Cricetulus griseus: one gene and its partner. The protein of the gene in region 1 interacts with the protein of each later gene in a pairwise test. Links are inferred from orthologs where the notes say so. Each region holds a gene or a part of one and is shown on either strand. Other genes may lie near its edges.

What was found.
Region 2: the proteins of Mall (region 1) and Ms4a12 interact in binary tests that used the Homo sapiens proteins (3 or more experiments, as listed by UniProt). The two-hybrid records come from large-scale screens. The link is inferred for Cricetulus griseus from reciprocal best matches to the Homo sapiens genes MALL and MS4A12.

What each region holds. Positions count from the first base shown.
Region 1 is NC_048599.1:50,860,318-50,864,329, forward strand, and holds the start of Mall (MAL-like protein), read left to right. Parts: upstream 1-1,212; coding exon 1,213-1,323; intron 1,324-4,012.
Region 2 is NC_048596.1:49,231,150-49,235,436, forward strand, and holds the start of Ms4a12 (membrane-spanning 4-domains subfamily A member 12), read left to right. Parts: upstream 1-1,487; coding exon 1,488-1,760; intron 1,761-4,287. UniProt on the Homo sapiens protein: May be involved in signal transduction as a component of a multimeric receptor complex.

The DNA of each region.
Region 1 (4,012 bases):
GTGCTGCTTGTCCCTGATATTCAGAAAAGGTGGTGAGAGGTGAGATTCCAGCAGAACATAGTAGCTTTGGCACCATCCTGTCAACAGTGTAGGGACCTGAGAGTGGCCTGTAAGCTCTGGGACTTGGAAAGAGTTGAGGATAGGCTGTTTGGGGGCTACCTGTTGCCTTTCCTTGCAAGGCTTTGGCTTTGAGTTTCATTTAATCCACCTCCCTGGCTGGCAGAGACAATTGGCTACTCCTCCCACCTTGCCCAGGACAGGCCCTGGAACTCCCTGCTGTTGCTAAGGAACAAGACACATCCTGTCACCCCAGTCTTCGGGACAACTCTCCCGTGCATCCTCTCCTCTGCCCGGGGAGGCTCTCCAGCTGGCCTGCTGGAGCCAAGGAGGGAAGGAAGAAGACTCTGGGGCGCCAGGCCTTCCCTCAGGGCGGTGGAAAAATGAAGGTTAGTGGGTTGGAAGGTAAAGAAGAAATCGGTCCAGTCTCCAGACCTGGCTTGCGTGTGAAAGAAACAGCTTTGTGTGGAAACACAGCAAGGCAGCCAGCCCTGGGCTCTACTCGGGAAGGAACTGCTTGGCCCCAACCCTGGGTCCTAGCTCGACTAGGAAGACAGCAAGAGCAAGACCCCAAAGAGTGATTCAGTTGGGACAACACCAAATCCCTGAAGAGGGGAGGTGTAATGCCTGGCTGCTTCAATCCCTCAATTAGAATCCCAGGGTCGCCTTGATGGGAAGAAAGGCAATCTGTGTGACCACTCTGTGACCTTGACTGTACCTTTTTCTTATCCAGTCTCCTCTCTTGGAAAAGTATAACATAGCCACGTGCTGGACTGTCTGAGCTCCAGAGGTGTCTGTGGATGGTTACACATAGTAGGTCCTCAATAAATGTATTTTATATCAGCAAAAACAAAAACAAAAACACTGCTTACATCCTGAGTGTAAAGATCAGCAGGGGCATGGCTGGATACCTCCTGGAGTCGTTTGCTCCAGGGAAAGTCTAGAAAAGAGCCTTCACGAGGCAGCACCAGTTCCCTCTCTCTGGCTGGCTGGCCGGCTCTGTGCAGAAGGACCTGCTCTTCTGGAACCTTTCTTTTCCCCTCCCAGGCGACGTCCCTCGTCCGATGGGTGTGTCTGTCGGGCGGGAGGTGATACTTGAACAGCTGCGGGCGCGGGCGAGTGCTGTGGAGCAAGGATACCGGCATAGGTGACAGCATGGCTTCCCGGGACACACCGCCGGCCACCAGCTATGCCCCGCCCGACGTGCCCTCGGGGGTCGTTGCTGTGTTTCTCACCATCCCCTTTGCCTTCTTCCTACCGGAGCTGGTGAGTGCGGCTTCGGCCACCAGCAGGGAGGGAGGGGCTGGGAACCACTCCTGTGCTACCGACCTACCGCCACCCGCCACCCCCCATCCGGGGATGGGGTAAGGCAGCTAGCTACGGGTGCCCACTTTCCATACTATCTGCCTGACCCCAGGCTGTGTCCCTCTAGAGCGAACTTTCCTCCTTCCCAAAGAGGAACCTTCCCCAGGACACTCGTTTATTGAAGGTGTGCAGCCACCTTCTAGATTACCCAGACGTCTCGGAATATTCTATTACCTGGTTTCTTTCCACCTAGCTGTTTGTACTTTCCTAAAGTTCAAAGAACCAGAGGACTCTCTCTCTAAAAGGCCTTCTAAAAGAAGTTCTCCGAGTATTTCTCAAAGTACATCAGCTGACTTTGAACTTTGATTTATGTGTCTCCACAGAGGAGGGAGCTCATGACAGCACCGTCCATAAAACAATCTCCTGAAACGCCCAAGTTACCCCAGAGAACTTGTTATTGCCGGACTCTGGGGCACCCCACAGCAGAACTGGGCTTTATTCCCTGCCTGGGCTCAGCCATGCATCCAGTAGAAAACAGGTTCCCTCTGCTCCTGCAGTATCTAGATTGTGCGTGATTTTTTCTTCTGAGCTCTGAATTTGACAGTGCTGCCTCTGTGTCGGGAGGAAGACTCAGAATAGTACATAAAACTGGCACCAGTGGCCAACCTTTTCCACTCTCTTGGTCTCCTCGAAAGGCTGGGACTGATGGAGTGAATTTTAGGCAAATTGGTTAAAACAGCCATTCTTGTTCATCAAGAAAGGGAAGCCAAGCTAGCTGAGCCCCATAGTTGGGTGGCTTTGGCAGAGACCCCACCTAAGAGATAGGTTTCTTTCAATCCCCCACAAACGTGGGCATCCTGCCAGGCTGATCACATTCTGAACTCTGTGTGCCAGGCCCTGGGTGTGGCCCTCACTTTGGAGCAGCCACATGTATGACAGGACAGAGCTGTCTCTGCCACTTTTTATTGAGCATATTCTTGCCAGTCACACAAATCATTGTAGGAATGGCGGCTACCTCCCAGGGGTCTCTGTGAGTGTTTTCTGGGTGGCTTAAATGCAGCACCAGCAAGAAGAGATGGCCAGTCCCAGGTCAGGGAGGGCCCAGGGCTGTCCCTGGGAGTTGCCACTCGAAGAAGGCTGGATGGCTGAGGCAGCAAAGCAGCCAGGTAGAGAACTGGCACTTGAGGGGCCCACAAATGTCCCCACCTGTCCTCCTTCTGCAGTGGATTCCTAGAAGAGTACTATCAAGGTGTCCTGGGACTTGGAGGAAAAGAGGACATTGTCATTGGTTTGGTTTTCTTGACTTATTTTTAAATAATTTTAGATTTCTCTTAAAGACACAGTAGCAGTACAGGAAGTGTGTATCACTCTGAACCCCACAGATCTCCCCAAGCCAGGAAGTTAACATTAGCACTCTGCTGTTGACCATTGTTGTCATATTTGCTCATTTCCCCACTAATGGCCTTTCTCTGACCCAGGGTCCAGGCTAAAACTCCTCATTGTGTTTGGTTGTCCTTTTCCCTTCATTCTGGGGCGGCTCCCCTGCCTTCATCTTGGTGTTCTAGAGAAGGGATTAGTCCATTAGGGCAGTACCCTTCCAGTTAGCCTTGCCCCAAATTTTTAATTTGCAAGTCAACCTTATTCATTGTTTAAAACTTAGAAAATACAGAAGTGGGCAGGACCTGTATGTATGCATGTGTTCACAGGTGGAGCATGTGCAGCGTGTGTGTGTGTGTGTGTGTGTGTGTGTGTGTGTGTGTGTGTTGAGTGCATCATTCTGCACATGCTACTTGTACCCGCTGTGAGCAAGGACTCCAGAATCATGTGTGCCTGGATGAAAGACGGGGAAAGAGGGGACCAGGTTGGGGAAAGGATCAACTTTTGATTCCATGAACGGAAGCTAGGAAAACGTGTATTTGTGCTGAGCCAGTTTGGCTCAGACCGGTCTTTGGCTTGGGCAGTCTGATGTATCCCCCTCTGCTATCCATGTGATCGATGTGAAAGCACCATGCCTCCAGGTACTCCTGACCCTTCCTTAGTCTTCTGGTCTGAGACAAGGGTCTATAGAATGGATTAGAAAGCAGCGAGGCCAGGACACCATTGCAGAGCACAGAAAGCAATACCCAGGTATAAGGTGAATACCGATACGGAGCCAGTAGAGATATTAGGGTATATTTATTAGGGAGAGCCTTACTCACAGAGCAACCTAGCCAGCCGGAAAGAAACGGAGTAAGCAGAGCAAACCAATGAAGCAGGGAAAAAGAAGGGGCTCCCAGGTGCGCGTCCCTCACGTCACCCTGACCATGCCTGCCAGGACGTGGTCAGGCACACCTGTAGCCAGCCCCGAGGAGGCGTGGTTACTGTGTCCCCTACACCCAGGAACTAGGGTGCAGTGATTCTGCGGTGGAGTAGCTCGGGGTGACATCACACAATGGTGTCTTCAGTGACCTTCCCAGCCACCAGCAGCTGTTGTGGAGCACCACATGGAGCCGGTGGGCAGATTCATTGTCAGATCAAATCCAACAAGCTGGGATCTTCCCTGATGGCCATAAGCCACACTCTGGCTATCATGGAGGTACGCCTCTGGCTCTTTGTGGCTCTTGAAGATGACAGGCCAGGTAGGGTAGCTCAGGCTTCCAGTAGCTTACTC
Region 2 (4,287 bases), on another chromosome or scaffold:
CCAGGCTCCACAAATCTTTCTCACATAATGGAGGGTCTAGTTCAGTCCCATGGAGGCTCCATTAACTGCTGGTCTAGAGTTCATGAGTTCCCTCAATCTTGGTTCAGCTGTCCCTGTAGATTTCTCCATCTTGATCTTGATCTCCCTTGCTCTTAAAACAGCTTTATGAAAATCACCATCATTCAAACTTTGTACCAGCCATTTAGATTCACTGTTTTGCAGCTTAGATGCAGGAACTAACAGGGATTTAATTGAGAAAGCTGTTCAAGGCACCACAGTTTAGTGATCTATCAGGCTGGAGACTAAAAAGATCTGGAATAGTACTTAGTCTCAGAAACTGGATCTACAAAATGCATGCATGGTTCCTGTTTCAATAGTATTTGCATGTCATGAGGAATCACTCCTTATAGCCCTAGAAGGAAAGTATTCTTTTATTGTTTTTAGCACTGTTTTGTAGAGAAATAAAAGCAAAGAAAGTTCAACAAACTTGCTAAACACATAGCTGGTGTCAGCCAGAATTCTAACCCCAAAATGATGCTTATAATTGAACACAGTACACACCCACTGTGGTATTTAATGAATGTTATCCGAAAGAGGTCATTTGAAACCTGCTGAAGAGAGGCTTCAGTAACTATCTTACTGTTAATCAGTTATAGCAACAGATAGGAAACTATATTGATGTCCATAATGCAACTTGACAGTAAGGAAGGTGGTCTAAGATTAAAATTATTTGTTTGAGGAAGTTACTAGCTCACATATGGCCACTGATGTTAGTCTCCCTAATGCTATTTATATAAACTGCTCTTGTGGGTTCTTATTCATTCAGCATCTCAGGCCCAAAGTGGCCAAGGGGATTTTGTTGGAAGTAAGTCTCCATGACTAAATGTGAACAAAAATCACTCATAATCCTTAAAGAAAGTAGAAGGAAACTGCATACCAAAAACACTGTGTTCAGTGACCTTGGGTTCATTTTTGAGATCTCTGCAAACCATCTTCTTGCTTCACAGATGTCAAAGAGCACTATAGGAGGGATGTCTTCATCATTTGTCTAAAGTATGAATTATATAACCAACCTATTGGTGCATAAAACCACTGGCATTGTAATAGGGGTACTTACTCAGACCATGTGTTCAGAGTCCTGACATTTCAGTCCTCCCTGACTTCTGTTGCCCTTCAGAAACAATGAACTCAGGAAAACACACATGCGTCCATGTGTGTTTGCATACACACATATACATGAATACACTGCAAAACTAAATGTGAAGAACTGAAAATTAAATGTATTCCCATCATCCCCTCTTTTGAGCCCCAGGATATACAAGATTCCAAGGTCAAATGAGAATCATATTTTTATTGCTTGTCATTACAATATGTGTTCAGTTGCTCTCTCCCACTTGCATAGAAAATTGACACTTGACAAGATTTCCTTTCATTTCTTACCTTGATAAATGTGTTACTTTTATATGTTTTCTATTGCTTAGGACATAATGACATCTTCCCAGACAACCACCTACCCCGGAATGCATGTCACCATTCCCAATCCTTACCCACCAACAAGTTCCATGGCTCATCATCCTCAACAGCCTCTGGGTATTTTAAATGTAGGAAACCAAGTACAGACTGGGCAACTTCCCTTCATTACATCTCCAGGAATCTTCACTACCAATCGGTTTGGTCCAGAAAATGTGCCAACGGTGCATCCAGCTCCAGTAACAACAACAACCAAAGCCAACTTTAAAGATGAAGCAATAGCTCTTGGGGTGAGTGTATTGTCACTAGAATTTTTAATGTTGCAATTGCAATGTTTCCATGCATCTGTCAGTTACAATAGTATATTGTCCAGTGAGCAAAAATATTTGAGGATTATTCTGATAACTGTGTTCTGCCCAGAAAGAAATGATCAGTCTGTGTATGAATTACCCTGAGCTACTTCATTTTAGATTCAGTCGTGTGTCTAACAGTTGACAGAAGACTCCCTAGCAGGATGATCCAGTAAAATGGCGAAGTGACAGAAGCCTAACAACTTCTTGCTTGATCTCACTGCTGTGGAAGTCTTTTTAGACAACCTCCTCTCTGTCTTTGGATTTGTTACAAATGTATATTCCTATAAAGATGAATCATCTTTAAAGAGATCATTGAAAACTGTTTTAAATTCCTCTATTGAGAATTGTCTATTTAGTTCTGTACCCAACTTTTTAATTGGATTGTTTGGTGTTTTGGAGACTAGCTTCTTAAGTTCTTTGTATATTTTGGAGATCAGCCCTCTGTCAGATGTGGGGTTGGTGAATATCTTTTCCCAGTCTGTGGGCTGTCGTTTTGTCTTGCTGACTGTGTCCTTTGCCTTACAGAAGCTTCTCAGTTTCAGGAGGTCCCATTTATTAATTGTTGATCTCAGTGTCTGTGCTACTGATGTTATGTTCAGGAAGCAGTCTTCTGTACCAATTCATTCAAGGGTATTTCCCACTTTATCTTCTAATAGGTTCAGCGTGGCTGCATATATGTTGAGGTCTTTGATCCATTTTGACTTAAGTTTTGTGGAGGGCAAAAGGCTTGGGTCTATCTGTAGTCTTCTACATATCCACATCCAGTTATGCCAGCACCATTTGTTGAAGATATTCTCTTTGTTCCAGTGTATATATTTGGATTGTTTGTCAAAAATCAGGTGTTCTTGGGTGTGTGGGTTAATATCATGGTTTTCAACTCTATTCCATTGGTCTACCTGTCAATTTTTGTGCCAATACCAAGCTGTTTTCAGGACTATCTCAATAGAGGAATCTAAAATGGCTGAAAGACACATAAGAAAGTGTTCAACACCCTTAGCCATCAGGGAAATGCAAATCAAAACAACTCTGAGATACCATCTTACTCCTGTCAGAATGGCTAAAGTCAAAAACACCAATGACAGTTTATGCTGGAGAGGATGTGGAAAAGGGGGAACACTTCTCCATTGCTGGTGGGAGTGCCAACTTGTACAGTCACTTTGGAAATCAGTATGGCGATTCCTCAAGAAAATGGGAATCAGTCTACCACAAGATCTAGCAATTCCACTCTTAGGCATATACCCAAAAGAAGCACATTCATACAACAAAGACATCTGTTCAACAATGTTCGTAGCAGCACTATTTGTAATAGCCAAAAACTGGAAGCAGCCTAGATGCCCCTCAACTGAAGAATGGATAGAGAACATGTGGTACATTTACACAATGGAGTACTACTCAGCAGAAAAAAACAATGGAATCTTGAAATTTGCAGGAAAATGGATGGAACTAGAAGAAACCATTCTGAGCGAGGTATCCCCATCACAAAAAGACAAACATGATATGTACTCACTCGTGTGGATTTTAAACATAAAGTAAGGGATTAGTAACCTACAATCCATACTGCCAGAGAAACTAGTAAACAAGGAGGATCATAAAAAAGACAAACTTAGTCCCCTGGAGAAGGGGAAAGGGTCATGATCCCCTGAGCAAATTGAGAGCATAGGAAAAGGGTGGAGGGAGCTACGAGAATGAGAAGGGAAGAAGAAAAAGGCTGCAGAGGTCATAAGGGAGCAGAAAGGTTGAGTCAGGTGTAGATTAGAAGAAAGGATATGTGATAGGTAGGGTTTTAGTTGGGGGGGTGGTGGAGGAGGAGGGGAGGGAGAAGGGAACTGGGATTGTCATGTAAGTCAATCTTGTTTGTAACTCAAATAAAACAAAAAAAAAAAAAGAAAACTGTTTTAAAGGGAATAGAGCTACTAGCAAACAGTCTGGGGAAAGCAAAATGTGAAAAGCCCTTGGAAATGTTATGTCTTTGTTGATTTACTTCCCAAAAGTTGACTTGAACTGGACACCCACAATCTTGTTTCTACAGTCATTGTAAAGCAAGTCTGTCTTACAGCAAAGACTCCACATGCTTAGACAGAAGTGACCATCATTTGCTAAGCTTTCCCCATACCTCTTCACAGGCTCCCACCAATGTGTCATGTCTCTTCCTGTGTACAGCTCCAAAATCTTGGCTATAGGAGTTAGTAGACACTAGGTGTCCACTATGTATCAGAATTCTTCAGCCATCTTGCCAGCTAGTGCTTTGGGTAGTTTAGTCAAGTCACGGTGTTTCAGGCAAGTAAAAATGAACAGTACCCCACCCTCCACTCCAGCAGCCAATCTACACTGCAAAGGTGGCTCCTTGGATCTTCCCCTGCCAAATGGAGTACATTCCCTGAAAACTCGTACTCACAAAGCCAACCCACGCAGCTGCTGAAAACATCTGGAAGTACAATGCAACACAGTCTCTGCCTTGGGGGGC